Alligator mississippiensis: one gene and its partners. The protein of the gene in region 1 interacts with the protein of each later gene in a pairwise test. Links are inferred from orthologs where the notes say so. Each region holds a gene or a part of one and is shown in the gene's direction. Other genes may lie near its edges. The genes, in order: CDR2, ENKD1, C6H1orf216 and TBC1D22B.

What was found.
Region 2: the proteins of CDR2 (region 1) and ENKD1 interact in binary tests that used the Homo sapiens proteins (3 or more experiments, as listed by UniProt). The two-hybrid records come from large-scale screens. The link is inferred for Alligator mississippiensis from reciprocal best matches to the Homo sapiens genes CDR2 and ENKD1.
Region 3: the proteins of CDR2 (region 1) and C6H1orf216 interact in binary tests that used the Homo sapiens proteins (3 or more experiments, as listed by UniProt). The two-hybrid records come from large-scale screens. The link is inferred for Alligator mississippiensis from reciprocal best matches to the Homo sapiens genes CDR2 and C1orf216.
Region 4: the proteins of CDR2 (region 1) and TBC1D22B interact in binary tests that used the Homo sapiens proteins (3 or more experiments, as listed by UniProt). The link is inferred for Alligator mississippiensis from reciprocal best matches to the Homo sapiens genes CDR2 and TBC1D22B.

What each region holds. Positions count from the first base shown.
Region 1 is NC_081836.1:46,674,257-46,681,671, reverse strand, and holds the start of CDR2 (cerebellar degeneration-related protein 2), read left to right. Parts: upstream 1-4,399; 5' UTR 4,400-4,515; coding exon 4,516-4,594; intron 4,595-7,415. Other genes in the region: transmembrane protein 180, read right to left, coding at 633-785.
Region 2 is NC_081833.1:34,730,119-34,737,749, forward strand, and holds the start of ENKD1 (enkurin domain-containing protein 1), read left to right. Parts: upstream 1-4,616; 5' UTR 4,617-4,721; intron 4,722-5,105; exon of another isoform or gene 5,106-7,215; intron 7,216-7,260; exon of another isoform or gene 7,261-7,631. UniProt on the Homo sapiens protein: Microtubule-binding protein which regulates microtubule organization and stability. Promotes the stability of astral microtubules and facilitates the proper orientation of the mitotic spindle.
Region 3 is NC_081829.1:8,811,370-8,818,759, reverse strand, and holds the start of C6H1orf216 (UPF0500 protein C1orf216 homolog), read left to right. Parts: upstream 1-4,381; 5' UTR 4,382-4,550; intron 4,551-7,390.
Region 4 is NC_081837.1:35,933,295-35,940,430, forward strand, and holds the start of TBC1D22B (TBC1 domain family member 22B), read left to right. Parts: upstream 1-4,136; 5' UTR 4,137-4,233; coding exon 4,234-4,289; intron 4,290-7,136. UniProt on the Homo sapiens protein: May act as a GTPase-activating protein for Rab family protein(s).

The sequences.
Region 1 (7,415 bases):
CCTCCAGCCAAACTAACTACCCACCCCTGAGTTAGTGAAACTATTTCCCAGCTCTTCTAACAGAGGATGTTTTGATATATAAATACAGACGTTCAAAATATTGTGCTTAATTTTTCATTTTACTTGGGGGGGTGAACTAATGCTTGCCAGAAACCAATATTTATAGGTAGTTCACTGTCTAAAAATGTGGACAGGTGCCTAGTCAGATTTTCAAAAGCTTAGATGTCTACTCTCATTAAAATATAAGCATTCTGGCTGTAAGCCACAGACCAGCAAACACTTACATGCAAGTAACTCTGAGCACATAGGCAACCTTACTGAGCTCAACAAGACTCTTCAGGTAAATAAAAGTTATTCACATGAGGAAGGGTCTGAAGCATCACAATGATGATCGATTTTAAGTACATTAGTAATCCCATTTAGACTGAAAACATTATTTCAGTACCATAAAGGCTTTTTTTATTTTTTTTAAACTAAAAGCTATAAACAATGTACACTTAGTGCATCTTTAATTTATGATAAATCAAATATTTCAGTAGGGCAACAATAAATTCATAAACAAAGCAGAATTATTTCAGTGCCATATAAATGTTATACAACACTAATAAAATCAATGTTCCAACATACTGTACCTGAGCTTGATGAAAGGCAATTTCTGAAATCTTGTACTGGTTTAAGAAAAGCTTAACATAGTAGAAATTAAAGATACTATTCATCATTCCAGCACCTAATGTGGTCATGGAATATGCCAGTGCATTAGGATGAATTCCTAAAACAATCTTCATTTTCCAAATTGTGATAGTTTCTTCTTCTGCTTCTAATTTAAAAAAAAAAGTTAACAATTAGATAAGTACCATTACCTGATATTTATAAACTTGCTAACAACACAAGATGGCATATTGTAACATAGAACAACTCCATGTTGCTGGGGACAACCAAGAGAGATTTGCCCATGTCAGGGCTGCAGGCTGGGGTCCCACAAATCTGTATTCAAGGATTTCTTCATTCTCAGTCTCTTTTCTACTTCTAAATGTATTGCAAAACTTTTAAGATTATTGGACCATGAGCACAAACCTAAACAGCTACAGTAGTAATTTATCAATACCATTTCTTAATATATATGCAATGCTTAAATGCCAATAGAACATGTCTAACAAAAATAAAGGGAACTTTTATCATAAGTGGCATAACCCAGTCCTACATCTATGTTAGTGCAAATCCAGCTCCCCAAACCACAGATATTTTACAGATCACTCTTTCTTTCATTAGCTTAAAAACTGTTAAATGAAAAACAGACTAAATAAATTTAATTCATATTGATGGATTACCTTGAGGTATCAATATGTAATAAGCTGCAAATTTAGTTCAGTAATGTTTTTAAAACACATTCTTTTAAACCAATTCACGATGATCATTTTTAGTTTAACGTTAATAATAAAAAACAATGTGGAAGCAAACTTCCAGTTAACAAAATAATTAAAAGACAAAACAGAAACCATTACTTTTGACTAGGAATCTTCTTCATCTCTGTTTTCTCCCTTACTAGTCTTATATTACAAAACTAGAAATTTACATAAAGCATCCTGAAGCTAAACATTATGCTCTGTAGTCACACAGCATGTGAAACATCCCTATGGGGTTCAGCCAAGGACATGCAGAGTTCTTAGCTCAGCACTCTCTAACTTAAGCAGTGTATAGGTGGCCCCATCACACTGTGGGGGTGAGGTGGGAAGTTTCAGAAACTGGCCCCGTATGGATGCTCCGTGAAGTGCTAGTCCTGAAGCTGTGTGCTCTGTGTGTGGGTCCATTTGGCGTGTGCCACCCATTTGGGTGGGTGAATTCAAGACCCAGGGCCAGCAGCTAGATGATGGGGCTCCATGGGTCAGATCCAGCCTGCAGACCAGATTTTTGACATCCCTGATTTAGCATAACACTTAATTATTCTTTTCTAATTCAAGTTAGAAACAAAGGAACAGTTGGGATGAGGTGGAAAATGGAAAGAAGCAAGCCTCCATGGCCCTTTGAAGCTGCTTATATTATTAAATGAAAAGATGACTAAAGGTAGCAATAGTAAAAAGACACAACTTTAAATTTAAGCTTGTTACATGTTCCAAATAAATTCTGTATAATGGCTTTACATTGTTCACTGTATCTGACTTTTCACATACAAATGTGAACAGCTAGATTACTTTTCTCTTTTGAAAATCAATTGGTATTAATAGCTCATTCTAATCCACCTAACCATATGTATATCCTCATTAGCACAACTTCAGATTTCTTCCTAAGAAAGCTGTGCAATCCCTCAATATTTCATAGCACACCAATTCTCAAAAAATATATATTTTAAAGAATATTTGCTAATTTCTGATTTATCCCTTCAGTCACTAGAAATTCTGTCTGTAAATATTAATTTCCACTCACTCTTGGTAGACTAAAGCCACAGGCTGCCCTCAGCAAGATTTCCACATCCTTTTAAACTAAGGGAGGCTGCCATCAGCAAAAACTATCACTTCTCATTGTTCCCGGCATGGCTGAAGATAGGCATTTCTGGGGAAGATGATGACCTTTAGTTACCACACAAAGTCCAGGAAACCTGCATAGAGTATGAGTAGACAGCTGCCTAGCTTGTCTACAGATGGTACAGAGTAGCAGCTCTCCAGAAGCAGTAAGTTAAATGTTTCTAGCTGGACACAAAGTGGAGTGTAGCCACGTGGTATGTGGCGCTCCAGATACATCCATGGCACCACATACTATACATTCAATTGTTCTCCTCCCTGCAAGAGAGCAGCGTGGAGGTTTTTTTGGACCCCTGGATATGCACACACGGTGGCAATGGGAGCCACCTAAAGCTGGAGCTGTGCTCTGCTGCCAGCCAGGCTCTGCATGGCAGAAGTAACATGACTGCAGCCCCTGCAGGCCCCCAGTCTCCCCTACCCCGCCATGGGTAACTTGTGCCAGAGCACGCGTGACAGCTAGCAACCCCACACAGTATCCTGCTGCTAGTTGTCCCTGGGGAACCAAACATTCACACACATCTGGACATGGCCAAAATGTGTTAACGCGTCTTTATTTTATACTGGTTTTGTACAATGGTGTGAATTAGCCTGAAGTAGTTGCTGTTACAGCACCTAATCACTAGGTGGGAAGATGAGCACATCATAACCTGCGTGCATTGAGCAGTCTACCCTGGGATAATTGCAAACATACTTTACTTCCACCAGCCTGTTTTTATTCATTTTTTTTCCTGGGGTAGCTTTACACCATGTTCTAGTAAGCTGCACCGCTACAGGGGTTTCCAGTGTGCCTGCTTTTTTTTTTTTTTTTTTGCACCAGTAAGAGGCAATTTATACTTGTGCAATCATGTTGGGCATCCAAACCTTAGGGGCAGATGCTCCCCGCTCAAGGTGAAAAAAAAGTCAGCCAGGCACAAAGTTAACCTGAGCCAAAGAAATAAATACAAGCATTTGTGAGTCACTGCTGGTTTTTGTGCATACTTTTTTTTTTTTTTTTTAAAGAGCCTGGCTCATGATTTCCGGATGTTTGGATAGGCAACACTGCATGCTTTTTGCAGAGTCTTTAAAAAAAACCAACAACATACTAGGTTCTGCAATATTAGGTGGGCTGCAAACTGCATAGCAGCCTTTGCCTTCAGAAGTGAGCTCTAAAGAAGACTATCTACGGGAACCCTCTCACGTTACACTCGACTCTCATCACATCGGACCCACAGACTGCCCTGGATCCTCCTCCAGAACAGGAGAGCGACTGGGTTGCACGATCCCATCCCGGGAAATCTCCTTTGCTCCTGCACAAATCCTTCCTGCTTCCTGCAAGCGGGTGCTGCCGCCGCGCTGCCTCGCGAACAGGCCGGCAGCAGCGCGGGGTCCGCAAGAGCCGCTCGGGCCTCCTCTCAGGGACGGCCTCCCCTGGCCCCCGCACCCCAACGGGGCCAGCCCAGGCGGCTTCGCCTGGCCCTTCCGACGCCCCCTCTCCCAAAGCGGGAGGCGGCTGCGGGCCATGGGGGAGGCGAGGGGCACAGCGGGGCGGCCAGGGAAACAAAGCCCCGGGAGCTGCCTGTGTAGCGAGGGGCGTTGTCACCTCGCCTAGCCCCCGACACGCCGGAGCCCCGGACACCGCCCCGCCGCCATGGCAACCCCGCCTGCCCCCCGCCGCACTAACCGCGCGCCTCCTCCCTCAGCCTGGAGCCTGCGCAACAACCGCGGGGGCGGGGACGTCGTGCGCCCCACCCCGCAGCCTATTGGAGATGCGGAAGATCCCGGCGCGTGATTGGCCCGCGTTCCCGTCGGTCTGCGAGCCGCGGCGCACGATTGGCTGCGCGCCGCGAGGTGGGCGAGCCGGGTTTGAATTGCTCTCGGGAGGGAGGTCGGTTGCCGCTGCCACGTTGCCGCCGCTGGCGGCTCTGCCCTGCCGGCGCCGCGCTCGGCAGCGTCCGGAACCGCTCGGCAGCGTCCGGAGGCAGCTCTGAAGGGAGCGTCGGGGCCGGCGGGTCGGGGCGCGATGCTGGCCGACAGCTTGGTGGAGGAGTTCGAGCTCCGCGAGGATGAACCGTGGTACGACCAGCAGGACCTGCAGCAAGGTGAGGCCGCCCGCGCCGGCGGCACCCGCCGCTGCCCGCGCCCGAGCAGCTGCCGCCTCCCGCACCTGCGAGGGCCGCCGGGGCGGAGGAGGAGACCGGCTCTGCGCTCCCCTAGCCTGCTCGTGCCGCGCGGACCGTCCTGCCCCGCCCGCCCGCCGTCCTGGGCACGAGCACAGCACCTGCGCGCCGGGGCTTCCTTCAGAAACTTCCCTGCGGGGCATGAACTAGGATCCGCCCCGGAGAAACGCGGGGGAAAAACCACTAGAAGCTGATGCTGCGGGACCAGGGATGTGGTGTCGAGCCTTCCCTTGTCTCCAGTTCTCGGGGCGCTTGGAAGCATCCCCTCCTTACTTGGCGATTTGGCAGAATAACGTCTGTGTATTTAACAGAAGCGCGTTACTTAGTTTCTTTTCTAATATGCCATTAGGTGCCACACAGGCTGACCCACATCAACGCTGGGATGGGAGAGGTTCAACCAAGGGTTGCCAACTCTCGTGATTTTTGGCATTGCTCTTCAAGTCTATGTTCCGGGAACGTGAAAAACGTAGCTCTTTCTTTTATTCATATTTATCTGCCTATAAGAAGGAGCTGGGTTTTTTTGCATTCCCAAAGCGCAGACTTTAACAACAACGCCAACGCTCATGAGAGTAGCTTTTTAAAAGATTAATTCTTACAACTTGAAAACCCGCCCGAACCATCTAATTTCAGAGTCTACCATCTTTGACTCTTGTGCCCAAGAAGAAAACAAAGTTTTGGCTGGGGTGTTATGACCCCGCACTCGTTCCTGCCTGGGGCAGGGGTTCGGACCTGATGATCTGTTTAGGTCCCTTCCAACCCTAACAACAATGAAAATTTCACCTGGGGGGGAAATGGAGTTTAATATCTAGTCCCTTTTTATTAAGAAAAAAAGTATGGAAATGACTTTTCTGTTTGCTGGGAGATTCAAGAATGGTAAACAGCAACTTCCTACATCAGATATATGTTTTGGTGCCCTGCTGAAAAAAATTCATGCATGCTAGGAAAATGGCCACCAGCTTCAACAAAGTGTTGACTAGATCACAACCTAAAATGAAAAATAAATGCACAATTCAGAGACTCTTCTAAGACTTGTTTAGAAGTAAGGCTCGTGAACTAAATATTCACAAGGGCTAATCAGTGTATACCATATTGCTTAATAATCTCTTGTTGAAAGGAATGGGCACAACTTACTGCACAATTATCTTGGGTGGATTATTAAAACGTAGGAGCAGGACGCTGGCAACATTATCTTGATGTTTGGTTGCCCAGTTGTAATAACACCTTCAGCAAGGTTTGTACAAGTGTCATGAAGAGATGATTGCTTAGGGAGAACAGGACTTCCAAGTCTGCAGTTTCCAGACATAACAGTTAAACCTAACAAATCTAGACTGATCTGCCAAAATCTTGCTTGCATATTGTACTTTCAGGGACAAGGTGTAAAGTGACTAAACTTGTATTGGCCATTCACGACTGTTCAGGGACTATTCTCATGGTGAAAAGGGAACTTCTTAAATATCTGACCGAGATATTAACCAGCATATTGCCAAAATGTATTCAAGATCACAAAATAAAATGGAATGCAGAAAGATAAGCTTCTGTACTACACTGAAGTTTCAGATGGTCTTTCATTGTTTTTATCCTTATTCAGCTGGTTAGCTATATTCTGTTGTTTACTTGCACACTTGCTTTTATTGCACCTTGAACTCTGAAGGAACATATCAGGCTGCATAGTTTTGTCACCAGCCAAACTCTAAAACTCTGCAGGTGAGGTCAGGTTCATGAAAGCTCACACTGTTTTTCTGGTTTAGTTTGTCTATAGGGTGTAAATCTACCCTGCCTTCTGCTTGACTTCAGACTAACGTGGCAAACCTACCTCTCCAAATTCCCTTAGATGTTAACAAAAGCAGTGTCTGAATACGTCACATTAAATTAATTTAAAAAATGAACACCCTTTAATTCATGCACTAGTAGCCTAACCACCTTTGAAAGCATTGAACACTTTCAGCTCTTCTTGAAACCAAGACTTATCAGTGCCTTAATGTAATTAAAATCAGCACATTGGAAAGCAAATTCTTTCTGCAGTACTTAATGCTCTTAGTTTTAGATGAGACCAAAATTTTATTTTAAGACAAGGTTTACTTTCACATTTGAGTGATTCTGCCTATCATATAGAAACCAATTTCTTCTCTGTCAAGAATAGCAAATTTTTCACATAAGGAAAACATGAATGCTGCTTTGGAACTGCCAAAATAACAGACTACATTTAAGTCTGTAGCATGAGCATCTAAATAAAAGATGGAATCGTACTGTACTCCTTTTGTATTGCTTCATGCTCAGAGTGCTTTGTAAACACAAATATCACACTACCAATATTACACACTAACAGGAAATTACATGCACGGTTTCATTCCTTCCAGTTTTCTAAATACTTTCTTCTCAATTGGTTAGATCTCTTAAGCATATTTTAAATACTTGGTTTTGGCTCTTAAGTCATTTTACAAGTTATGTATGCAGTTGCGTGTCTTTAATAGAATCGTACTACTTGCCTGAAGCATTGAGTCTTAAGTATACCTTGGTATGCTTAGCAACATTTAAGGCAACAAAAATAGCATGAGTTATTGGACGGCTTTAATAAAGATGGCTGATGACCAGCTAAATTTAGTATGTTGTGTGGAATTAGAAAGTCTTAAGTAGGATTGTAATTTATGTAAAGGATTACAGAATCACTGAAGCTGTAGACAGCAATAGGTACTACAGAGCAAGATGTGGAAAAACATGGTTTGGTTTAGGACTTCTTAGTAGA
Region 2 (7,631 bases), on another chromosome or scaffold:
ATCCAGGATTTCCTGATGGCATCTGATGACAGATTTAAAGTAGCAGCAGGAACAGCAGCAGGTGCTGTTTACAAGTTGCCCTCAGAGATTTGCCCTCATCTATTGCAGCATCTGGCATTCAAGGGTTAAGGCTCAGGAGCTTATGAAGCAAGGCGGTTCCTAACCCCCGCGCCCGCCCCTCCCTCGCCATTGCCAACAGAACTGGACAGAGCCCCATGCTGCCACAATAGCCTCTCTCTTTGTATTGTGGTTTTTCTCTCAGCCCTTGCCCAGCTCAAATGGGTGGTACAAGCCCATGATGGATCAGCACAAGTGGAGGATAGAGCTGCTAGGTTGATTATTATTATTGCAGGGGTCACCAGGTAGTTACATATTTTTTTCCATTTTATTAGATAACATTGGACTCCTCATACCACCAGTGACCCCCTCCCCCCAGCCCTTCTCATCGGCATTGACCCCCCCCACTGGCTAGTTACAATCTTGTATGCCCCAGCAAGGTGTTTCCCAAGGCCGCTCAGCCAGTCAGAAGTCCCAGCTAGGGCATGTGGGTAACTGTAGCTCTTTGAAGGTAGCAAAGGTCCTCAGATACCAGTGAGGGGTGAGTGAATAGGAAGGGTCCACAAGCTATGAAGGAGCTATCGCTGAGCCTCCAGGGATGGCAAGAGGCTCTCTCCCATGCAGGGGCCATTAATGAAGCATTCCTGGGAGATGCTTTCTGCTGTCACAAACCAATTAAAACATTTTAGGGGGATGGCATTTTCCATCTGGTATCGGTGTTGTTGTTGCTGTGCTGTCTCAGTTTTTACACCTGTAGTTGTGTGTGTACAAATGATCTTAAGCACAAAAATGCCACCAGAATTGCAGGGCAGCTAAGACTGCATCAACAATTAAGGCCTGATTTGTGGGCCCAAGTGTCATTAATTCCTCTGCAAATAACCTCCCAGGGGAAAATAGAAGCTAGTATCAGAGCATTTGATCCTGAAAAGCCAGAGATATTGGCACGTGCTGTGAGTTAATCACATGGGATCTCATAGGAAGCTGGTTGCAGAACAGTCACAGCCTGTTGTGAACATCAAGAATCACTCAAGTTCCAGTCACACAATCTGGACTTGCTGCAAATGAGCCTCTTGCCTTTTGTTTCCTGCTATAATTTGCTGTGGCTGGAGAGCTGATACCTCCTGAGCTACTGCAGTTTAACTGGGAATGGGATTTCAGGGCCTCTAACCCTGCCTGATTGGAGTCCCCTTGCAGGCAAAAATCAAAATCTGTTCATCCTCTGTATCCATTTAAATGTTCTTCAGTAAAGGTTGCAGTTTTTCTCCTGTGGTTGTATCCTGAGCATATAGTTAGCCTCAGAGCTATCAAGCCATAAATATGTGACAGAGGCCTTAAAATGTGTCGGCAGGACTTACTCATAAACAAAAGACCCTGCAAAGACCAGAGGAACAGGAGGCTGGAGGAGGGGGGATATTTCTCCTGTTACAATGTTTTTGACAGTCTCAATGCAACCAACCATCCTGAATGTGGCAGAAGACTTCCAAATTTTGGGGCTGTGCCTTAGCATCCCTGATGACTTCAGGTAAAAACTGATTTATCCTGTTTCTGATTATCCCAGGCTTGCAGCTGATGACAATTAACTTGAATTAGCCATGACTGCTCAGGCAAAAAAATGTTATTTCAGATACACTGCAGGTACTTAGAAGTGGGACCATGGGCTTGTACACCTGTAGAATAAAAAGATTTCTCCTGGGATAAACATGACACCTGTTTTTCCCCACAGAAATCAGATTTCTTCAAGGACAAAGCCTTTTTGAGATCCTCAGATCCTACAGAATTACAAGCCCATTATTCAACTTTAAGTAACTGTGAAGTATCTGAGATAACTTTTCCCCAGAACAATCCTGGCTCATCCAAGGGACAAGCCTGAGAATATTTTTCCCCAGCATGATTTAGTGAATTTTAGTTACCAGACTGCAAGTGTAAAGGGCTATACCACTCCCAGTTTTTGACACTGGTCAATCAGAATGCAACTCAAATGCAGTGTCTGTTTTTAGTAGGCATCTATCTTGCAAAGCAATAGAATTATGCCGAGTGGAACATCAGCTTGCTGAAGGTAATCCTCACTTGAAAATAAAGTAAAACTGGAGTGACCCCTCCAGGGTGCAAAAGCTTGGGCAGTGATTATGGAGACACTGAGCTGTCTGCACACCAGTGTCCCCCTCTCAGCCTTGCTGGTTTAATCCAAAGGAGCAAAGGAGAACATCCAGAGAGTGGGTTTTCATAGATTTCTAGGGTTGGAAGGGACCTTGTAGATCGTCGAGTCCAACCCCCTGCTTTAGGCAGGAAAGAGCGCTGGGGTCAAAGAACCCCAGCTAGGTGCTTGTCCAGTCTTTTCTTGGACACCTCCAAGGTAGGGGACAGCACCACCTCCCTTGGAAGCCCATTCCGTATTTTGGTAACCCTCACCGTAAATAATTTCTTCCTGATATCCAATCCAAATCTACTCTCCTTTAGTTTGTGGCCATTATTTCTAGTAACCCCGAGGGGTACCCTGGTAAACAAAGTATCCCCTATTCCCTGCTGACCCGCCATGATGAGTTTGTAGACAGCCACGAGATCACCTCTCAGCCTTCTCTTTCGGAGGCTGAAGAGGTTCAGGTCCCTCAGTCTGTCTTCATAGGATCTTACACACAGGCCCTCAACCATGCGAGCTGCCCTTCTCTGAATCCTCTCAAAGTTATCCACATCCTTCCTGAAGTGCGGCACCCGAAACTGGATGCAGTACTCCAGCTGTGGCCTGACCAATGCCGCATGGAGAGGAAGCATCACCTCCCTAGACCTGCTCGTGATGCACCTGATAATGCAAGAGTGTGGTTAGCCTTACTTATTACCTCATCACACTGGCAACTCATGTTCATTTTTGCATCAACCAAGACTCCAAGATCCCTTTCCACTGTCGTGGTACTCAGAATGGTATCCCCCAGTCTATAGGTGTATTGGAGATTCTCGCTCCCCAGATGTAGCACCTTGCACTTATCCTTGTTAAACTGCATCCTATTCTGATGTGCCCACTTCCCCAGTCTATCCAAATCTGCCTGGATTCGCTCCCTGCCCTCCAGTGTATTTACTAAGCCCCGTAGTTTGGTGTTGTCTGCAAATTTGGACAGAATGCTTTCAATCTCCTCATCCGAATCACTGATGAAGATATTGAACAGCACTGGTCCAAGGACAGAGCCTTGGGGAACACCACTGCTCACATCTCTCCAGAGAGAAACCGCCTTATCCACCACCACTCTCTGGGTGCGTCCCATAAGCCAGTTTTTCACCCACCTTACTGTGAAAAAATCCGCATCATAGCTACTCATTTTGTCCATCTATTGGGGCTTCACTCCTAGACTGGCTGCTGATCAGAATTAAAGAGCCCAGTCTACCCTATAATGGATTGGACTTCAGTTCCACAACTTTTAGGTGGCATTTCCTCCACGGAGGGTAAGACTAGTACCCCCCTCTAAAGTACTCTTATGCACAAAGTCATTGGCACCCTAAAGATTGTTAGGTTGTTTATCTGCTGCCCAGCACTCAGTGTTAACAGTCGCAGGTAGTTCTGGCTACTGTATGTTATGGTAGCAGTTTTTACTTTCCCTGAAATAAGACTTTTGTCCTGATTTGGTTCCTTTCCACCCTAAGGACAATACCATGTTCAAGGAGCAGGTGCCTTCCCTCCCCTGCTGCAATGCCACATATCCTCAACCAGGTCACTCCTTTCTGGTGTAAAGCAAGGAAAAGTAGGCTACACATACACATCCCTTTGATCACCCTGGCACCTTGCTTCCTTTATGGGTTCAGAAGGGGTCTCAGTAAGCAGCTGTGTAGCAGGCTGGCAGTGCCAGCTGCCACGGTGCAGGTGGCCACAGATGGATCTGGGATTTTGAAAAGGTGGCATGGCTCATTGTCATGTGCAATACAGCACACATTTTTCTCTGGTTAACAAGAAGCTAGTGCCGTGGGTTGGCACTGTAGTATTCAGTTTAAAACGGAAGCAAGAACAAATATCACTATTGGAATGTCCATTAGTTTGCTCGGTTATGTATTATGTTAATAAAAAGACAACAAACTAGACATGAGGGCAAAGATGCTGCGCTGTTAGTTTGGTTGTTGTCACACTGACTGTACGTCTCATTTACTCAAGAGTTGTTAAAAGCTAGCACCTTGGGCCTCTCGACAACAGTGTCTCGGTAGGTCGGGGCAGTCGTGTCTATGCCCCACTTCTGCTTTGTGGCCAGAGCTAAAGCCCAAGCAGAGGCTGCAAAGCTGGGACAGGTGGGACGGGCTGCCATCGCGGCACAGGAGAAAGAAGCATTTCAACAGAAGAACCTCGAGACCTTTGAAGAGGAGAGAGGGGGGCACTAACTAACACGTGCGGAAGGGAGATATCAGCAGGACCCGAGGAGCTGATAAAGGCCCTGAGGCCGCTCGACCCCTCGGCGCTGCCTGAACAGAGCCGCGCCGCACCGCGCCGCGCCGCCAGGCCCCCGGGCGGGGCGGGGGGAACTGTAGGGGCCGCGAGCTGGGGTCGAGCCCCCCACGGGCCTAGCTGCGCATGCGCGGCGGTGGAGCCCGGCCGGACTCCATCTCCCAGCAGCCCCCGCGGCGCCGGAAGGGCCGGTTGCCTGGTGAGGGCTGCGTGGGGCTGCTCCGCCTTGTCCGCCCGCTCTCGGCAGGTGCGTGCGCGGCTCTCCCGGCCCCGGGCGCGTCCTGCTGTGGGGGTGGCGGCGGCGGCGGCGAGCCGGGGGGTCGCGTCAGGCTAGGCCAGGCCAGGCCAGGCCCGCCCGCCTGTTGGGGTTGCGTCAGGCCCCGTCCTCGGTGGGCCGGGCCGGGCCGGGCCGTGCTCCCCGCGCCCCTCGGCTCCGCCGGCGGGGCCCAGGGGCGGGGGTCGGGGGCGCTGAGCACCGACTGCTTTGGGGCAGCGGGACGGGGTGGGCGGAACCAGCCGGCTTCAGCGGCCTCCCCGGTGGGGCGGGGCGGGGCGGGGCGGGCGGCGGCAAAGGCGGCGGGAGCGGAGGCTGAGTTGAGCAGCGTGTTATACAGTAATTAAAGGAGAAAGGCCGGGGGAGCCGCCCTGGCTGCGCTTGCGGCTGCCTCTCCCTGGCTCCCTCCTGGCATTCAGAAGCGTGCCGTGACTCCTGTAGGTGCTGCAGCCAGGGGAGCAGCACAACAGAGTGGAGACAGCTTCGGTTTTTACAGCATCTGTCCTCTGCCAGCACCTCAAAGCACTGCACAGACAGCAGCAGGGAGTATAATGCTGAAATGGGGCAGTTTAGGGCAGCTATTTGACAGCACCAGTTGAGGGCAGGAAGTGAAATTGCACAGGGCACAGCCCGGCAGAGAGCCTGGAACAGCAGAGACTGTGACTAGAGCTGGGGCTAGCATCTGACCTTCAGAGGATGAAATAGGATCTTTATGGGCAGGAGTGGTTAGATCCCCAGCTTCTGGGTGTTTTGGAAAGGTGGTGGATACTGGTGGGTAGAGATCCTGTACCAGTGAGCAGTTGTACCTTAGGAATCCATTAGCGCCCGGTGCTGGGAGAGGGCAAGTATGAACGTTTGCTCGGTTTTCACTTGCATCAAATGGTCACGTGAAAATGTATAGCTGGTTCCTCCTGGTTTTAGCTGGCCAGTGCAGCTGTGGGCCTGTTGGGGTGTTCATGAACTCTGAGCCTTGTAGAGGAAGCCTCAGAGGTTAGCTGAAGCAACTAAATGTTTCTAATGCAGTTTGCTGGAACACCTCAGGGGCATTGTGGCAGTGCTGGTACTTGGCTAAGAGTTCAGTCTCAGGGACAGATTGCAACCTAATTACACTTAACCTGCCCAGTTGGGCCTGGGCTGGTCTATGTGCTAGATCTAGCAGTATGGGGCCAGTGGGCAGGACTGGTCTGGTGGGGTGTCACATGCAGCACATTCCTTGTGCTGGAGCAGCCCTTGTATTGTAGTTAGTGTCAGTTAGTCTTGCTCCAGGGGTTATGCTGCTGGAGGCTGTACATGGGCTGGATCAGGCACTGTGGGTGCTGCCTGTTGCCTTGGGGACTGGCTCACGGTATAAAGCTGCATCCCAGTGGACTGGCCCTGAACTCTGGCTCTGAGGCTAATCAGGATTGGGCTCCAGGCTATCTGTGTGCAGGGCTGTGTGCAGTACATGCCCCATACCAGCTCTGTGTGGCAAGCAGTACCTCTGGTGCTGTCTATCTGGCTCACCAGAGGTAACACAGTCTTTGGAGTGGGGCTGGCATATGGTGTATGGGCTAGACCCAGTGCCATGGGTGCTGCTTCTTGCACTGGGGGCTAGCACAGGGCTTGAGCTGCATGTGGTACCCTGCTGAATAGCCTGTCCTGCTGGCTCCAGCACAACCTGATCCAGACTGGTCCCAAAGCTAGTGCACAGGGTTGGCCCAGCAAGGATACCTTATACAACTCATGCCCTGAACTGACCCCCTGTGCTGCAAACAGTGCCTGCAGTGTTGGATCTACCCCTCACACTGGACTGGCTCCATGTGCTGCATGCAGGGTTAATTGGAGACTCGCAGGCTGAATCTTTTGTGGCTCCATGGGCCAGATCCGGCCCATGGGCCGTGTTTGATGACCCTGGTGTAGGGCATCTGGCTGATCTCTCCAGTGGCAGGGTTTTAGCCTTTCAGGACTTCAGTAGATGTACGTTTCTTGCACCCTGAATGTCTGGAGTGGAGATAATCACACCTGTGTAATGTCCAGCTTGTCTGAGCTGCATGGGACAAGTGCTAGTCATTTAGGCTGTGAACGATGCTCCAGAGGTTGAATCCTCTGGCTGCTTCCTTCCTTTCCTTGTCTGTGAGATAAAAGGGCCCTGAGAAATGCTATCTTTGGTCCTCAGTGGGGAGCTGCAATGGGAACCCACAAAAAGCCAACCCCTCCCCTCATTTCTGTTTGAGATGCGGCCAGTGGACAGATGAAGACAAAGCATATGTTGGAATCTGTAGCATCTGATCTAGTGGAGAGCTGTATGCTGGGTCCCACAATCTCTGCATGGGAAGGATCCTTGGGGCAGAGCAGAGGGAGGCTGCTTGCTATGCTGTGGCCAAGCCTGTGCTGTGCTGTCCTGCCTGTTCTGGCCCAGGAACACAACTCCCTTGTCCTTGGAGCGTTAGGAAGGTCACACCTACATCCTCACCCTCTCTTTAAACAGGTATCGGTCTTGGTCCCTGCCTGGTATCCCAGATGAAAGTCCCATTTGCCTTGTGTTCTGGGCTATTGCTGAAGGGTATTCTGCCTCTTGGAAAGAGCATATGAGCTACCTTTGCTCCTAACAGTTTGTGTGTGAAGGCCAGCCCAGTGTATAGGGAAAAGACCTGAACACACAAGTCACCAGCATAACTGGTGTTAATTGGCCCCTCTGTCAGCAGAGAGGCAGGAGAGTAAACAGGCCTTGAAGGCTGATGTTTGAGGGCAAGGCAGAGGAGACCCTCTGGGAACAGAATATGGTTTGCAGTCTCTGTGGCTACCAGGAGCTTCTCATTTGCTTTGGGACCCATGGAGAGTGTCAGTCTATCCTGTTCCTATCTGCAGTGTGGGCCAAGGGGAATGTACACATTAAGGTGCGTT
Region 3 (7,390 bases), on another chromosome or scaffold:
CCTCCAAGGATGGAGACTCCACCACCTCTCTGGGTAACCTATTCCAGTGCTTCACCACCCTCCTAGTTAGAAAGTTTTTCCTAATATCCAACCTAAAACTCCCTTGCTGCACCTTGAGATCATTGCTCCTTGTTCTGTCATCTGCCACCGCTGAGAGCAGCCCAGCTCCATCCTCTTGGGAACCACCTTCAGGTAGCTGAAGGCTGCTATTTAAACCCCTCTCCGTTTTCTCTTTTCCTGACGAAATAAACCCAGTTCCTTCAGCCTCTTCTCATGAGTCATGTGCCCCAGCCCCCTACCCATTTTTGTTGCCCTCTGCTGGACTTTCTCCAATTTGTCCACATCCTTTCGGGGGGGGCAAACTGGACACAGTACTCCAGATGTGGCCTCCCCAGTGCTGAATAGAAGGGAATAGTCACTTCCCTCTATCTGTTGGCAGTGCTCTGACTAATGCAGCCCAGGATGCCGTTAGCCTTCTTCACAACAAGGGCACACTGCTGGCTCCTATTCAGCGTCTTGTCCACTGTAACCCCCAGGTCCTTTTCTGCAAAGCTGCTGCTTAGCCAGTCGGTCCAACCTGTACCGGTGCATGGGACTGTTCTGTCCTAAGGGCAGATGTCCCGGGATTGCATCACTGGACCAATGAAAGAAAAGCAGCAGTGCATTCACCCACTCACTAAACCCTGATTGGAGGGGCAACGTGTATACATGCCAGTCCTGTGACTTTTCTTTTCTGGGACAACCAAAGGCACAACTTGTCCCAGGACAAATGCAACATCTGTTTGTAGCCTGTTCGTAACACCAAGGACCCCACTTCAAGGAGTCTTTGTTGTGCCGGGCACCTTAGAAATAGAATAAAAGGCCAGCCCTAACGAGCAGTATTGCTGTGATAGGGTTGTATTGCTGTAGGATTGAGGACATTAGCCAGGGCTGGGACACTCATGGTGCTTGGTGCTGTACAGAACAAAGACACATCCCCTGCCCCAGAGAGGTAGAAGTATAAATCAATATTACAGCTGACTGCTTGGGGCCGGAGCTGAAGGGGGATAAACATAGAAAGGAGGAACACAAACCCTCCTTGTGTTCATGTGAAGCACATTTTTGTCCCCCTGTCACCTCTCCAACCCCCAAGACTCATGTTGCTTAACATGCTGACTTCATCCAAACCATTCAGAACCCCTTACATTTGCTCTTTCCCTTCATCCTGGCATTAAGCCTGACAATGCCCCTTTATGCCCAAAGTGTTTGTGGTGCTTCATGTGACCTTCTTGCTCCAGGCTTTGCATTCATCCCTGCTTGTTTGATGTGCTACTGCTTTTTATTTTAACCTTTGGAGACACCCCCAAGTCCCAGCACAGATGGATAAAAGGTCTATTGAGAAAGCTGCATCCATAGCCCCCTCCCTGCGCTCTGCAAGGAGCTGATGGACTGTGAGGTAGGTACCACGGGGGAGTCTGGGTAGCCTAAAGCTCATAGGACTGATCAGGGGGATTGGGAAGAGGTAGAAGGAGGAGCTGTTCTGTTCATGAAAAATTGTCTTCAATGTGTTGCTGGGTGAGATGCATCCTCATACACATGCCCATACACATGCACACAGGGGGTATCTGCTGGGCTACAGGCTGTGTTTGGGGTTAGACCCCCAGAGACGTTTTGCCAATACCGTCCACTCATTACCCAGTAGCAGGTGGTGGTGCAGGGACATGTCCCTCTTTTCCTTCAGGTTTAGCAGGTTTAATCACCAGGCAGGTACCCCATAGACTCATGTTGTGCCAAAAGCCAGGACACATTTTGTAGCTTTGCCTCATTGCTTCTCCACTGGAGTTTTTCTGGGACTCCGAATAAATCTGGAATATAGCAGAGAGGCCTCATCAACCTGAGGACTTTCACCTGCCCAAAAGGGTTCTGGGAAGCTTCTCTCACCAGTGCGTGGCCAGCTAAGCAGCATGATTAAAATCCCAGCCACTGCCTGTTCATCGCAAGCCCCTTACTGTGGTATTTGTAGAGAAAAGAGTGATTCTAGTACACCACCGGTCTTGATGTTACAGCAAAAGTGGTAGGTAAGAGTAGCTTGCAGATCCCATTAAACTACATTATTAGGTGGCAAATTCTCTGTCTTTGAAGTCTTCTGAAACCTTTAATTAAGCTAGAAAGATAGTTGGGTTTTCAAGGGAGTGCCCAGGGAGGCTGAGAAAGCTCTTAACCACTAGGGAGATTTAATGATGGGAGTCATACAGCCAATGGGCATCAGCATCATATCCAGATGTAGCTCTGTGGAGGGCTCTTTAATCTGGAGATGGGACAGGCTGCCCTGGGACTCAGGGTGCAGACAATGACAATTTTTGCCCCATCTGGCCCCTGAAAGTACTCTATAGCCCTGTCCTAACACAAGTGCATGGCTGCAGAACACTTTAAAAGGGCCTGATCCCGCAACAATCTGAACTCTCATTACATGAGGGTTCAGATGAAGGTGCTCCAAACAGGAGTGCCTTCATTAACTTCTGTCTGTGCATGCTGGGTGCTTTCAGAATGGGGGAGGGGGAAGAGAGAGTAGGGAGCTCATTTTGGTTGTTGCTTAGTCAGTGCTGGAGGGTAAGGCAGGTGGCTTGGATGCCCCCAAGGTTGGGGGATCCAATTCATCCATCCTCTGACTCCAGTGCAGTCTGAGGAAACCCCAGAATGCAACTCCTTCCCCTGCCTTCTCCCTCTCCCAGCCTGAGACAGCACCAGGGGCCAGGAGAGGGGTAGTGGGGCTAGGGGAAGAGGGTGCAGAGTTGCAGCTTTTCTCTCTGGATCAGCTCCAAATTGGAGCTTGACCCCCCCTCCCCACTGACCCAACACCTAACCTCTTTTGGGTCAGGAGGGTCGGTCTAACTCATGGCGCTTTCTGTGAAGCACCATGAGTTAGACCAGGAAGCGGCACTTCTGTCTGCACCTTCAGAGATTCTGCACCAGCCCAAGGGACAGGGGAGCTTCACATCCTCTTGCTGCCCTCATGTATCCAGGTCAGAGAAGCCACAGACTTCTGTTATAAAGAGGATCAGAGCCAGTCCCATTGCTGGGCTCTCTATTAAAAAGATCTTATGCCCCAGGCCCTGGAAGAAAACATGGCTGTAGTCCAGGACATTCACTGACCAGATGCTCTCTGCACAGAGCTTCATGATAAGCCATGGGCAGGGAAATCCTTGATCTTGAAATATTGCCTCAACCCATCACACCCATGGTAGAGGTGAAGGGAGAGGGGCTTCAGATGGGCCAGGTGTCCTACTTGAGAGAAGGCCTGATGCTCTAGTTCAGCTGGACCAGCACCAGCTATAGCAATTTCTAAACAAAGGTCTTGCAACTGCCCTGGTTTCCACTAAAATCTCCCCACGTGCTTTGTACTTGGAAGTTACCATCAAGTGTGCGTTCCCAGCAGCAGAGCTTGGCTGCACGGGTGTCTCAGAGCGCACTGGTACAACCAAGGCTAGGAGGTGAGAGCACCTCGCTTCCTTTCTCTACCTGCACCCCTCCGACTGCTTAGCTCCACACTCCCATCCATTCCTGGGCCCCACGAAAGACAGAGGGACTGACAGGGTCTCACACCAGAGGCAGGGTTATGACAAGCACACCAGGTGAGCAGTGAGTGAGGCTGTGGGGATGGATCAGGCTCAAGTTTTGGTCTGGTGAAAAACCAATTGGAGACATGGAACACCCCCCCCCCCCAATTGCACTGCGACTGTTCCTCTGACCCCTTGCACATGCCTGGGGGTGCGGGGGTCACATACCACTGACATGCTAGCAAGACTGCTGCCAGGAATATATGTCTGTTTATTCATTCCTTTGTATTGTGGTAATGCCAGGGAAGCAGCTATCACAGACCAGGCCTTCATCATGTGCAGCCCTGTACAAATCCAGGGGGAATCCAGGGCATAATGTATTGGGAATCTGTCCACTTACCAACCAGCCTGATCAGAGCTAAATCTTCCAGAGTGATTTGGTGGCTTTCTGATGCCTCAGATTCCCCGGGGCGACTCTAATGCAGCCTGATTTTCAGAAAATCCTAAGCCACTCTCCCGCAGAAAATCAGGTTCCTTACAGCTGCCTCTAGGCAGGCCCTCCAAAGTTGCTGCTGCTGAAGTGTGAGTCGGTGATGTGCCGGACGCTCAATGCAGGTTCCTCTGCACAGCACGAGCATCTCTTTACTTACCGAGGGCTGATCTCCTGGCTGAGTGTTGTTTCCAGGGAAGCTGATTCCATCGCTAGGGAGACAGATCATCTTTTATAGGCTCTGTTAACCCCCCCCCCCCACACACACACACATACACACACTCACTTAACAGTGCCAGGCTTGTGCTAAGGTGGCCGTAGGTGCTGCCTTGCATTTCTTGCTGCCTGCTGATCATCCTGTGACAGGGCACTCCCAGCAGCGCCGGTTGCTGTAGGAAGTATGCAGTACATGACGCTTTCCTGCTGCTGGAGTGAGGACTATTTCCGTTCTCTCCAGCTCAGCAGCAGCAACAGCAGCAGCAGCCGCCTGAGAAATCCACCTTTGCTTTCCCAAGACCTCCTTGGTAAGTGTGTGCATTACGCGGGGGGGTTGTTTGTATTTGGTATGTGGCAGGAGATAACCTGATGCCAGGGGTTGAAGTCACCTACTTCCCCACCTCGGTGCTAGGCACAGGGCAAAGAGCACAGCCCCATGGTCACATTTGGACCCCTTTGACAGGGTGTGTGTGGGGGGAGTGGGGGTTTCTACTGACTTTCCAGCACTTTGCTGTTCTGCTCACACAGATGGTACCAGGACCCCAGCCCCACCTGTGCTTGGCCTGGTGTGTGTGTGTGTGTGTGTGTGTGTGTGTGTGTGTATGTGAGAGAGAGTGTGCATGAGCACATGTGCATGTGTGCATGTGTGCACATATGCATGTGCTTGTTGGGTTTCTGATTTGCAAAGCGTTCATTGATTTATTTGTAGGGTCCCACAGCATGGACAGGGCTTTTGCTCGGTGCCATCTTAGGGATGTGTGGCTGGTAACTGTTGTACCACACATGCCCTTCCCCTCCCACCCCCTGGCCCCTGCCCCAAAACACAAAGTTTGGACGTAGGCATGATAAACCCTCCTGCCCCTTCCCCTTTGAATGCCCAGGTGCTGAGCCTGCTACAGCCACATGAGCTGGTACAGGGGACCCTGCCGTAACTGAGGATCAAGGTTAGCTCAGTGGCCACATGAGGATGTGCTGGGACAGTGATTCCAACAATCTCATAATCCTGATCGCATCTGTTTTCTCTGTCTCCTGGCAGGGATTACCGTGAGCATTAGAACCCCTTTGCCTCTGCGTTGCCTTTCCCTTGCATTTTCCTTAAACCATTTGCAGAGCTCACAAGTCTGGGGAGCTGTGTGGTTTTTCCCCCCCAAACTCTAGGCATGCGAGAGAAAGGGGAGGTCCACCCTGCCGGCACGCTGCAAGGCAGAGCTTTGTGATGTTTGTACGGGGACAGCACAACTCTCCCCTGTGGCTCTGGGCACCATCCATCACATGCTACCACCACGCTGCAGCACATCATGCTGTCTGCTGCTGCTACACACACACACACACACACACACACACACATCTCTGCTTGCCATGGAAACCTCACCATAGCAACCATACTGGAATCCAGGTTTAAAGGGACAGGGTCATGGGGTGCAGCACAGGTGAAAGTGACCCCGTTCAAGTAGCCCTGAAAACACTGGGCCTCCTCTTCCCGCTGGGACCAGTCCTACACCAGTGTAGCTCCGTTCTGTTAAGTGCAACTAATCCTGGTCTACACTGGGGGAGAGGGGAAGAGGAACAGGATCATGGTCCGTATGCTGCAGTCATCCTGCAATGAGGGTCCATCCCCTGTAGCAGGAGGCTGGGGCATACACTTGGTCCTGTTGCTGCTGCAGTGGCTTCTGCTGAGCTGCAGGCCATAGCTGAGCTGTAGCCCTCTTGTAAAGCAGGTACCTGGGGAGCTGAGCTAGGGCTTTGCCTCTGAGGGCACAGACCTCTCTTCCCTGAGGCCAGTGGGGGCACTTGCAGTTGGCTGCAGCTGGTCCTCAGTCCCAGAGAGGCCTGTCACTCACACAGGCCCACGAAGCCAGCCCGTGACACCCCACGCTTCACCCCAGCTCCACTCTCTGCTCCTCTTTCTCCCTCCTGGGATTGCTCCTGCACCAGCAGCTTCAAGGATTGGATTCTGTTTCCTTCTAGCTTTGCCCCTTCATCTTGCCTTGTGTTTCAGGCACCCTTACCTCTTGCCCTGTAGGCATTCCTTCCAACATTTAGGGATATCCAGACCTAGATCCAGACTCACCCCCTGCCTGCGTCCAGTCCAAATCCTGGCTTTCAAACACCTATAAACTCTGGGTATTTGCAGCTTGAGCCTGGAGTGACATCTCTGTGGCACTTTTCTTGCTGATTAAATAGCTTTTAGTGCATTTCCCCTCACAGCACTCCTATGCAGCACAGTAGTACTATTCCCCCCTACCCATTTCACTGGCTCACAGGGGCTAGAAGACTCACCCAAGGTCTGTGGTAGGGAAGTGGTTGACCCCACTTCTCCCAAATTGCAGCTCAGTGCCTTAAATCAATGGACTGATGCAGAGAAAACTCTCCCAATTGCTTTAGCAAACACCCGCTTTTGTGAATCCTCTACATCTGATCTGTCAGGGGAGTTGCCATCCAAGATATATTGGTTATTACCTCACTGAGGAATGGCAAAGGTAAAACAACTAATGCTGGTTTTGGGTAGCCTGCTAAAAATCGCAGTCCTGCTTAGGCAGGGCTGGCCAGGGAAACGTCCCCAAGTTACAGTCCATGCAGTAAACACTCCCCATCAACACTGGTATTATTCCCACTCAACCACTAACTTTTGCATGGAAAAAAGGGGTAGCTAAGCAGTCTGGTCTCCTGGGGAGGGAATCTTGTTCTCCTGGGTTTTCCTGCATGTGATTTCTAGCACTAAGCTTTCCTCCATCTCTATTCATAACCCTGGTAGGAATTCTAGTTTGACATTTTTTTTTCCACTGGTTCCAGTTTGTAATGAAGGAGCAGGCCTACTGGTGCTATTGGCATCCTTGAAAAGTCAGAGACCAATGGAAAGCTGCACAGATCTATTAAAATAATCCAATGGGATGTAATAGGATTTCCACTGGGGAAGGTGAACAGACATTAAAAGAAGTAACCAAAAGTGTTTCAAATTTACACAGGTTCCCTTCATACGCCTCACCAACAGGGACAAAGTTTAAACTGTTTCCCACTGTTTCCCACAGCTTTTTTCTTGCAGCCTACAGTGTTTTGCACGGCTGACTTCATGCTCCTGGCTTGGTTGGTGCAGGGAAGAGATCCTGTGTGATGATGTCTATTTAGGCCCGTTAATCCAGACCGAGCA
Region 4 (7,136 bases), on another chromosome or scaffold:
GCTGAATAGTCTGGGAAGGTGTCTGCCCCTCTGGGAGCAAAGAGCCAGGCCAGCATCCATCTCACTGAGGCAGAGCCTCTAGCTTGCTCCTTTCCTCCTGGCCCCATATACCTCCCACTCTCAACTGTTCAGGGGGCCAGCTTCAAAGGGAGCACTGGAGAAAGACCTAGTTAATGCCTGATGTGCAGCATGGTGATTGGAGCCCTGTGCTAGAAACTGGAGAGAGGCAGCTCCAAGCCCCTCCTGAGTGAGGTGGGGTCTCTTACTTCCTGGGCAAGTGGCCTAACTACTTGTCTCCTGGGGCCCTCCTGCACCCACTAGTCATGGGCTTTTGCCAGGTAGAATGTCATGATTTCTGCTTACCCAGCATACACGTGTATGTACCGATCTAATTGCATCCCTGCCTAGACAATCAGTGTGTAGCCTACTGTGTATGGTCAGTAACATGTGTGTGTCCCCAGTGTATGAAAAGCAGGATCACAAAGTATGCATCAATGCCAAAAATGGCAGCTACATGGCTGGAAAACTGTAAGGTGAAACAGGATTCTGCCCTAAACCCACAGATTTTCAAATACAAGTGCTTCAGACCTGGAATCCAAACCCACCCTTAAGCCCTGATCTTTTACATTCTGCAAGAGGGTTCTGTGCGTGATTTCAGAAAAGCAGATTACTCACAGATCTCACCAGAACCATAGGAGCTGCGGCTTTCAGTGCCTCTCAGAAATCAGCTTGACCACTTAGGTGCCTACATACCATTTGGATGCTTAATGCTCAACACACCAGACTCCAGAAACATATGTGCTTAACTTTATGCACTGTAAATTGACTCTGCGACTTTGGTGGGAGCACTCAGACTGAATGGAGTCATTTTGTAAGGTAAGCACCTTAGTTTGAAAATGATAGCCCTGTTCACTACCAAATTTAATCAGGTTTAATATTAATATTAAATTAATAGCATCCCATTCTCTCAGTCATTATTAAGCTCTGATAGTCTTCTATTATTGTCATTATGGTAAGAGTCACCAGATGGCACTGTTATACACATAGTCTCATGTCATGAGTTCCTTTTACTGGTGTGTAAGCAGTGCAGTCTTGGGAAAAATGTTCTGTTGTTAGATTTGTAGTGATATTTCTTTTTGGTGGTGCTGTTGCTAACAGTAGTAGAATTTGCACTTACTCTTCCTAGAGTCGATGTTTATGCCAGCGTTGTCTTCAGGGAAGTGGGTTTTGATTTTCTTGTTCAGATTCCTGAAGCAGTGGATTAGCTTGCATGGCGTTTGGTCATCTTTGTACAGGGACAGTCATACATAGACACCTGTTGGAAAGTATTTGTTGAAAGAAACTTTAGTGGGACATTGCTCTTTTTCAAAAAGAAAAAAGGTAGAGATCTCCAAGTGTCAGACACATTTCATTGAAACCATTTTTTAAAATAAGTTTGCTTTTTCTTTTTTTCCACAAAAACCAAACTATTCAGAGGAAATTTCAGTGAGAAAGAAAAAAAACACAACATTTTTTAAAACATCTCCAAAAACTATTGATATATTAGACTAGCTCCAGTGCAGAGCGTAAACCAAAAAACATCCCTGAATCTGCATCACTGATTTCTTTTTCACAGTGAAACCAAACTGTAAGGCCCTGCTTTGTTACCATTTCACAGAGAGCCAATGCTATTCAGAAACATTTCTATTATGACTTAAAAGCCTCACCTGAGATCAGGACTTAGTGATGCCAGGGGCTGTACAAAGAGCAAGAAACACTCCCTACCGCAAAGAGTTTGTATTAAAACTAAATAAGACAAAAGGTTATAAAGAAAACCAAAGCAGAGATGGGTGAAGCAACGTTTTTTACCAGGGAAACTGGCAGAACCAGGAATATCACCCACATGGGTGGATCTAAAATTTTTAAAAGGGGAGTGCAGATGGTGCAGTGCATCATCACATCTAACCCAACAACATATTTTTTTCCAGTTAAAGAGAAACTAGAAGCTTTATTAATATGACAGGGGCTAACACTATATTATTTGGTTTAAGACCAAGCAAAAAACAAATACAGCTCTTGGAATGTGCATTAATTTGCTAGAGTATATATAAAGTTTAAAACTCCAAGGGCTATCAGATCCCAGTATAAAGATTCATGTCTATCCAGAATTGGAGGAAAAGTTCCCAGCAAAGCATCTTGATGCCCATGTTGCTGGGGTCATCTGACCCCAGTGGCTTTTCCTGCCCAAGTGCAGGGGGCTGGACCCGATGATCTGTAAGGTCCCTTCCAGCCCCTACCATCTATGACACTAGGCAAAAAAATAGTCACAGGATACTGTATTGTCAGTCCTGTAGTCATTACAGTTAAATGCGTGTCTTTTATTCAGATACATTACAAAAAATAAAAATCTAGCCTTCTTGAGCGCCTTGACAATGCCTCCAATACTTCACTGTCATTCGTTTTTCTACCTCCGTGTCCATATTACCTCACCTGAGTTCAGGTTTTTAGCTAGAGCTGAAAACAGGCTGCGGGGCTGTAAAATAGGAGAGACATTACCACAGATCCTGGTTTCCTCTGATTTAAGATAATCCCCAATTTTCAGTTAAAGAAAGTAACCCCACATGCCCATTTTTCCGTGAGTTTAACAAAACACCATCTATATAGAGATATAGATATATATAGAGAGAGAGAGAGGTGTGTGCACATATATATGTGTATATGTATATATATGTGTGTGTATATATATATAGATGTGTGTGCATGTATGTGTGTGTGTGTAATGGTGTTTTGTTTTAATCATAGAAAAATGTGGATTTGGGAGTTACTGTTTTTTAACCGAAAATTGGGGATTTTTTAACTCAGAGAAGCCCAGGGTCCCTGGACATTGCCAGGAAGTTAGGCAGCTCGCAAAGGGAAGACGTTCTTCCTCAGGTGTGAAGACCGGAAGCGGGGCGCAGCTGCCCAGCTTGCTGAGGAACCACGTCTGCCATTCGGACGCTCGTCCAGCTTTCTCCCAGCGACGTAGCTGGTGCAGTAACAGAGAAGGCCCTAAGAAATCCTTGCCCCCCGTGTCGTTTCGGGCCCACCAGGGCTACAACGTCTCTATTTCACTCCCATTACCCGGACGGGATAACAGACAGCAAAAGCGCAGAGGAACGGGTAGCTGTGTTGGTGGGACGTCAGGACCATTGAAAGGGACGGAGGTTGTTCACCCCGGCGGAGTGGAGAGATTAACAGGAACCGGGAGAGGACAGAGTCAAGGGGCTCTCTCAGCCCCTCTCAACAGAAACGCGGCGGTGGCTCCTGCCGGGCGCTTGGTTTTAAACATTTGGGTGGAGCAGAAATCAAAGGGGGGCCACGCAGCTCCCGATCACCCGCACAGGCTCCTGCGGCAGCTTCCCCGGCGGGCTGCGCAGGGCCCGGCTGCTCTGGGGGGGCCGTTAGAAAGCTTAGGACAAGGCCCCACGTGCAGCGAGGCTCACGTGGCGAGTTCACGGGCCAGCGCAGTGGACGTGCAGGGATCCGAGCGCCCCGCGGACCCACCCCACTGCGTCCGCCTGGGCCTCTGCCCCTCCAGGCTGGAGCTGAAGGGGTTAACTGCAGAGAGCCCCCTCTTACCCACCCAGAAATAACAGCCCCTTCCCCTCAGGGGAAATGGTTTAACCCACTCCATCTCAAACAGCATTCCACCCCTCTTCCTCGGGGCGAGTGGTTGGACCCATCCTGTCTCCCCCCCCCCCCCCCGGCAGGTTATTTAACCGCAGCTCATTCCTCTCCGGCGCAGGTGGTTTAATCCGCTTTCCCCCTGCACTTGGTTTAAACTGTGCCCGCCCCTTCTTCCCAGGACAGATGGTTTGCCCCTTTCCCAGCTTGGTTTAAACTCCTCCTCTAGCAAGTTGGTTCCTTCCAGACCACTTCAAGGATGGTTCGCCCCACACGCACCCCGCCCCGTCCTCCTCTGTGAGAATGGCTTCGTCCTTCCCTTCCCGCAGATGGTCTCTCCCGCCTGAAGCGAGAGGCTCCGCCCTTTCTCCCGTGCCCTCGCTTCACGTCCCCGCAGCATCACAGCTCCGCATTGGCTCGGCGGGAGGCGCCCGAGCCGCGCAGCCAATGGCCGCGCTCTGCCTTCCCGCACCCAAGATGGCGGCGCCGGGGTCGGGTCGCGGGGGCCCCGGAGGGAGGCGGTGAAGCGGCCTCGGCCCGCGGCTCCGGGACCCGCCGCCGCGCCGCTCCCGCCCGGGGCCCGGCCGCGCCATGGCCGCCGACAGCAGCAAGCAGTTCTGGAAGCGGAGCGCCAAGCTGCCGGGCAGGTGAGGCCTGAGTTGCCCCCGGGCCGGGCCGGGCTTCGAGGCCCCGAGGCGCTCCCTCCTCCCCGCCCGCGGCCTTCCCGGGCCCTCGTGTGGCCCTGTGTGCCTCCCCCGCAGCCTCCAGCACCGCAGGCCTGGGCGCTCCCAGTCAGGCCCGCAGCCCCTTGGCTCCAGCACCGGGCCCGGGCCGCGGTTTCCACGGGGGTGACAGAGAGCGGCCTCGCGCTCGTCGCTCCGTGCGCCCACGACGCTGCCCTGCCGAGCGCTTCTCCTCCCTTTCCGACTTGGTGTCGAGAGATCCGCCGGCCGGGGCCAGGCGAGCCCGAGCCCCGCGCTGCAACTTCCCGAGGGTGGAGGTTTGGGAGAAGTTGCTGGTGGCACACCGCCAGCCTGTCATGTCTGTTGCAGAAGATAGGGGTAGCTCTGTCTCTCGCGTCTTCTGTGCAGTGATCCTTTCCCGGCCCTGCAGCATGGTCCGGGCACGATCTCCAAAAAGGAGCTCGCGCAGAGAAAGGGAAGTTTCTTTTACAATCTGCTCGCTTTTGGGATCTTCCCTTGCGCGTTCACTACCTCCGCCTCCATCTTCCTGAGAGGGAAGAGACGAGCCTTGAAGCTTTCTGTAGGCGCCGGGTGCTCGTGGCGGGGTAGTTCGTCGGGACCGTACCCTTTCAGAGGCATCCTTATTCCCGTCTTAGACGCGCGGGAGGGGACAAAGGTGTGGAAGGGAAGCGAGTTGCCCGCTGTCACCTGCCCGATGCAGTCGAGCCACTCATTGCTTTTTCCTGTTACTAACAACACTTCCAGCTGGGGCTGTGGGGAGTCTGAGCCCGGCCATGTCTTGCTGAATAGGAGGAACCTGGTTAGTTTCCCTCGTGTCCTGCCCAGTGGTTTATCGAGTCCTGCTCTAGGGAGAGAGGCTCAGCAGGACACCACATTGCTTGCCCTCCATGCGTAGGGCCTTACTATTAATAATAAAAGTGGGTTATGCTGCTCTGTGGGAGTAGCAGCGGCTTGCTTTTTGAAATGTCGTTGGCAGGCTTCTAGGATTTACTTTCTGCTGCTGCATTGACACTAAACAATTCATCTCTTTATATGCAGTAGAGCGGATGGACCGCAGCAGAGAGCTGCTTTGTGTTGAATTGAAAGAGACCCTGCCTCAAAGAGTTTTTGTATCTAAATTTCAGTAGGTGAAGGTGGAAGGAGGGAAGAGACAGATGGACAGTGACTGCTCCAAGGTCACCCAATAGGTCATTGCCGGAGTTGGAGCAAAGCCTAGGTGTCTGCTTCTGGTCCAGTGCTCTCCTCACTGATCCAGTGTCGTCCGCCAGTGGAGGAGAACGACCAGGTGAAGCTGACTCAATCCAGAAAGAGGACTTGCGCAGACTAGTTTCACTAGCCAAACTGAGCTCCATTTAAGAAATCAATAGTGTCAGAGGTGCTGAGAGATCAAGATTAGTGTATTCTATAATAAATGTGGGGGATTTTTAATGATAGTCACCCCCAGAGCCACTTGTCCTCTTTCTGCCTTGGTTTGCCCACTTGCAGTAGTGAGGATGGGCTAGCCCAGGTTTGCATGCTGCTTTCGGATCCTCTGTTGAAAAACTTAATATCAGGCTTCTTCGCCTGATCAGGCAGTGGGGATGAAGTTTTACTCTCAGACCCTCCTGTGTAAGCTGCTCAGCTCTTTCACAGTCTTGTTCAAGCTTTTGCTCTTCATGGTTTCTGATGTCTAAGCCAGCCAGCAAGAGCTAAGTCAGCCACATAAATGACTCATAAAGCTGTTTTTTACAGTTTTTTCTAATCATATCCACCCCTGGTAGCTCTAACCACTACCAAGTAGGAAACAGTCACCTACACTTCCTTCAAAAAAAAAAAAAAAAAGTTTGCAGTAGGGCTGTAAGCAGTCAGGTTGTGTTGTTAGAAGCCTGCAGAGTTTTCAGCCACATCAACTTGTGCTTATCAGTATGTTCATGACTTCCTGGGTAGAGGAGAAGCACAAAGAAATGGAGCGTTTGCTGGCAAGTGGAAGCTTGTGCGATCTCCAATGTATCCTTAGAAGTTGCCCCACTGTAGTTTCCTCCCTGTGAGCATTGCTGGTTCTCTTTTGCTTTGTTCTGTCCTTCAGCCTGTCTTTAGAAGGACAGCCAGGGCAGGGGGTTATCCAGTGAAGTCAGTGGCAGAACATGCCTGCACGCACGAGTTGTATGGCACCCTCTGAAACTCACTGTTGCAAGGAGCCTGCATCCAGTTCAGGAGCTGCCTGTTCAGAGAGGCTAAGAAATAGCAGGCCAACACTAGAGGCTTTTTGAGTGGAGTAAGATGATATGGGCTATATTGCCAGAGGTGCCTTGGGTGGGGATGATGCTGCCATAGTAGAGCGCACAGCTTTGGGCTCTTTTAAAGGACAAACATTGGAAATCTGAGCCTTTTCCAATATCTTGTGTTAGGCCAGTCTGTTTTGGATGTTCAGGCCTGCCTTTCTGAGCATCTCTCACTGCCCAAGGGCACCAGAAAGGGGCTTCTTGCTCCAAGGTTTAATCTTAAGAGCACTGGGTACTTAACAGATCTAGAGGTAGGATGCCTGAGTTGGGGATTAATGGTCTGTTCCCCAAAGGACTCTAGCATTTATTCCATTCTAGCAGCCTCCCATTAGGAGCAGAGGAATCTTCCGTCCTGTGAATCCAATTGTTGTGTAGAGGAGCGGGCTTATAAGACCATACAAACCCCACTTGGGCTTTGAGAGCAGCTCAACTGCCTCCCCCAGGCAGCTCTAGCAAAAGCTGCCCTGGGCTGTTTGCAATCTGTAGCACTGATCTTGTTTTACTCTCGATAATCAACTTGTGATCAGTG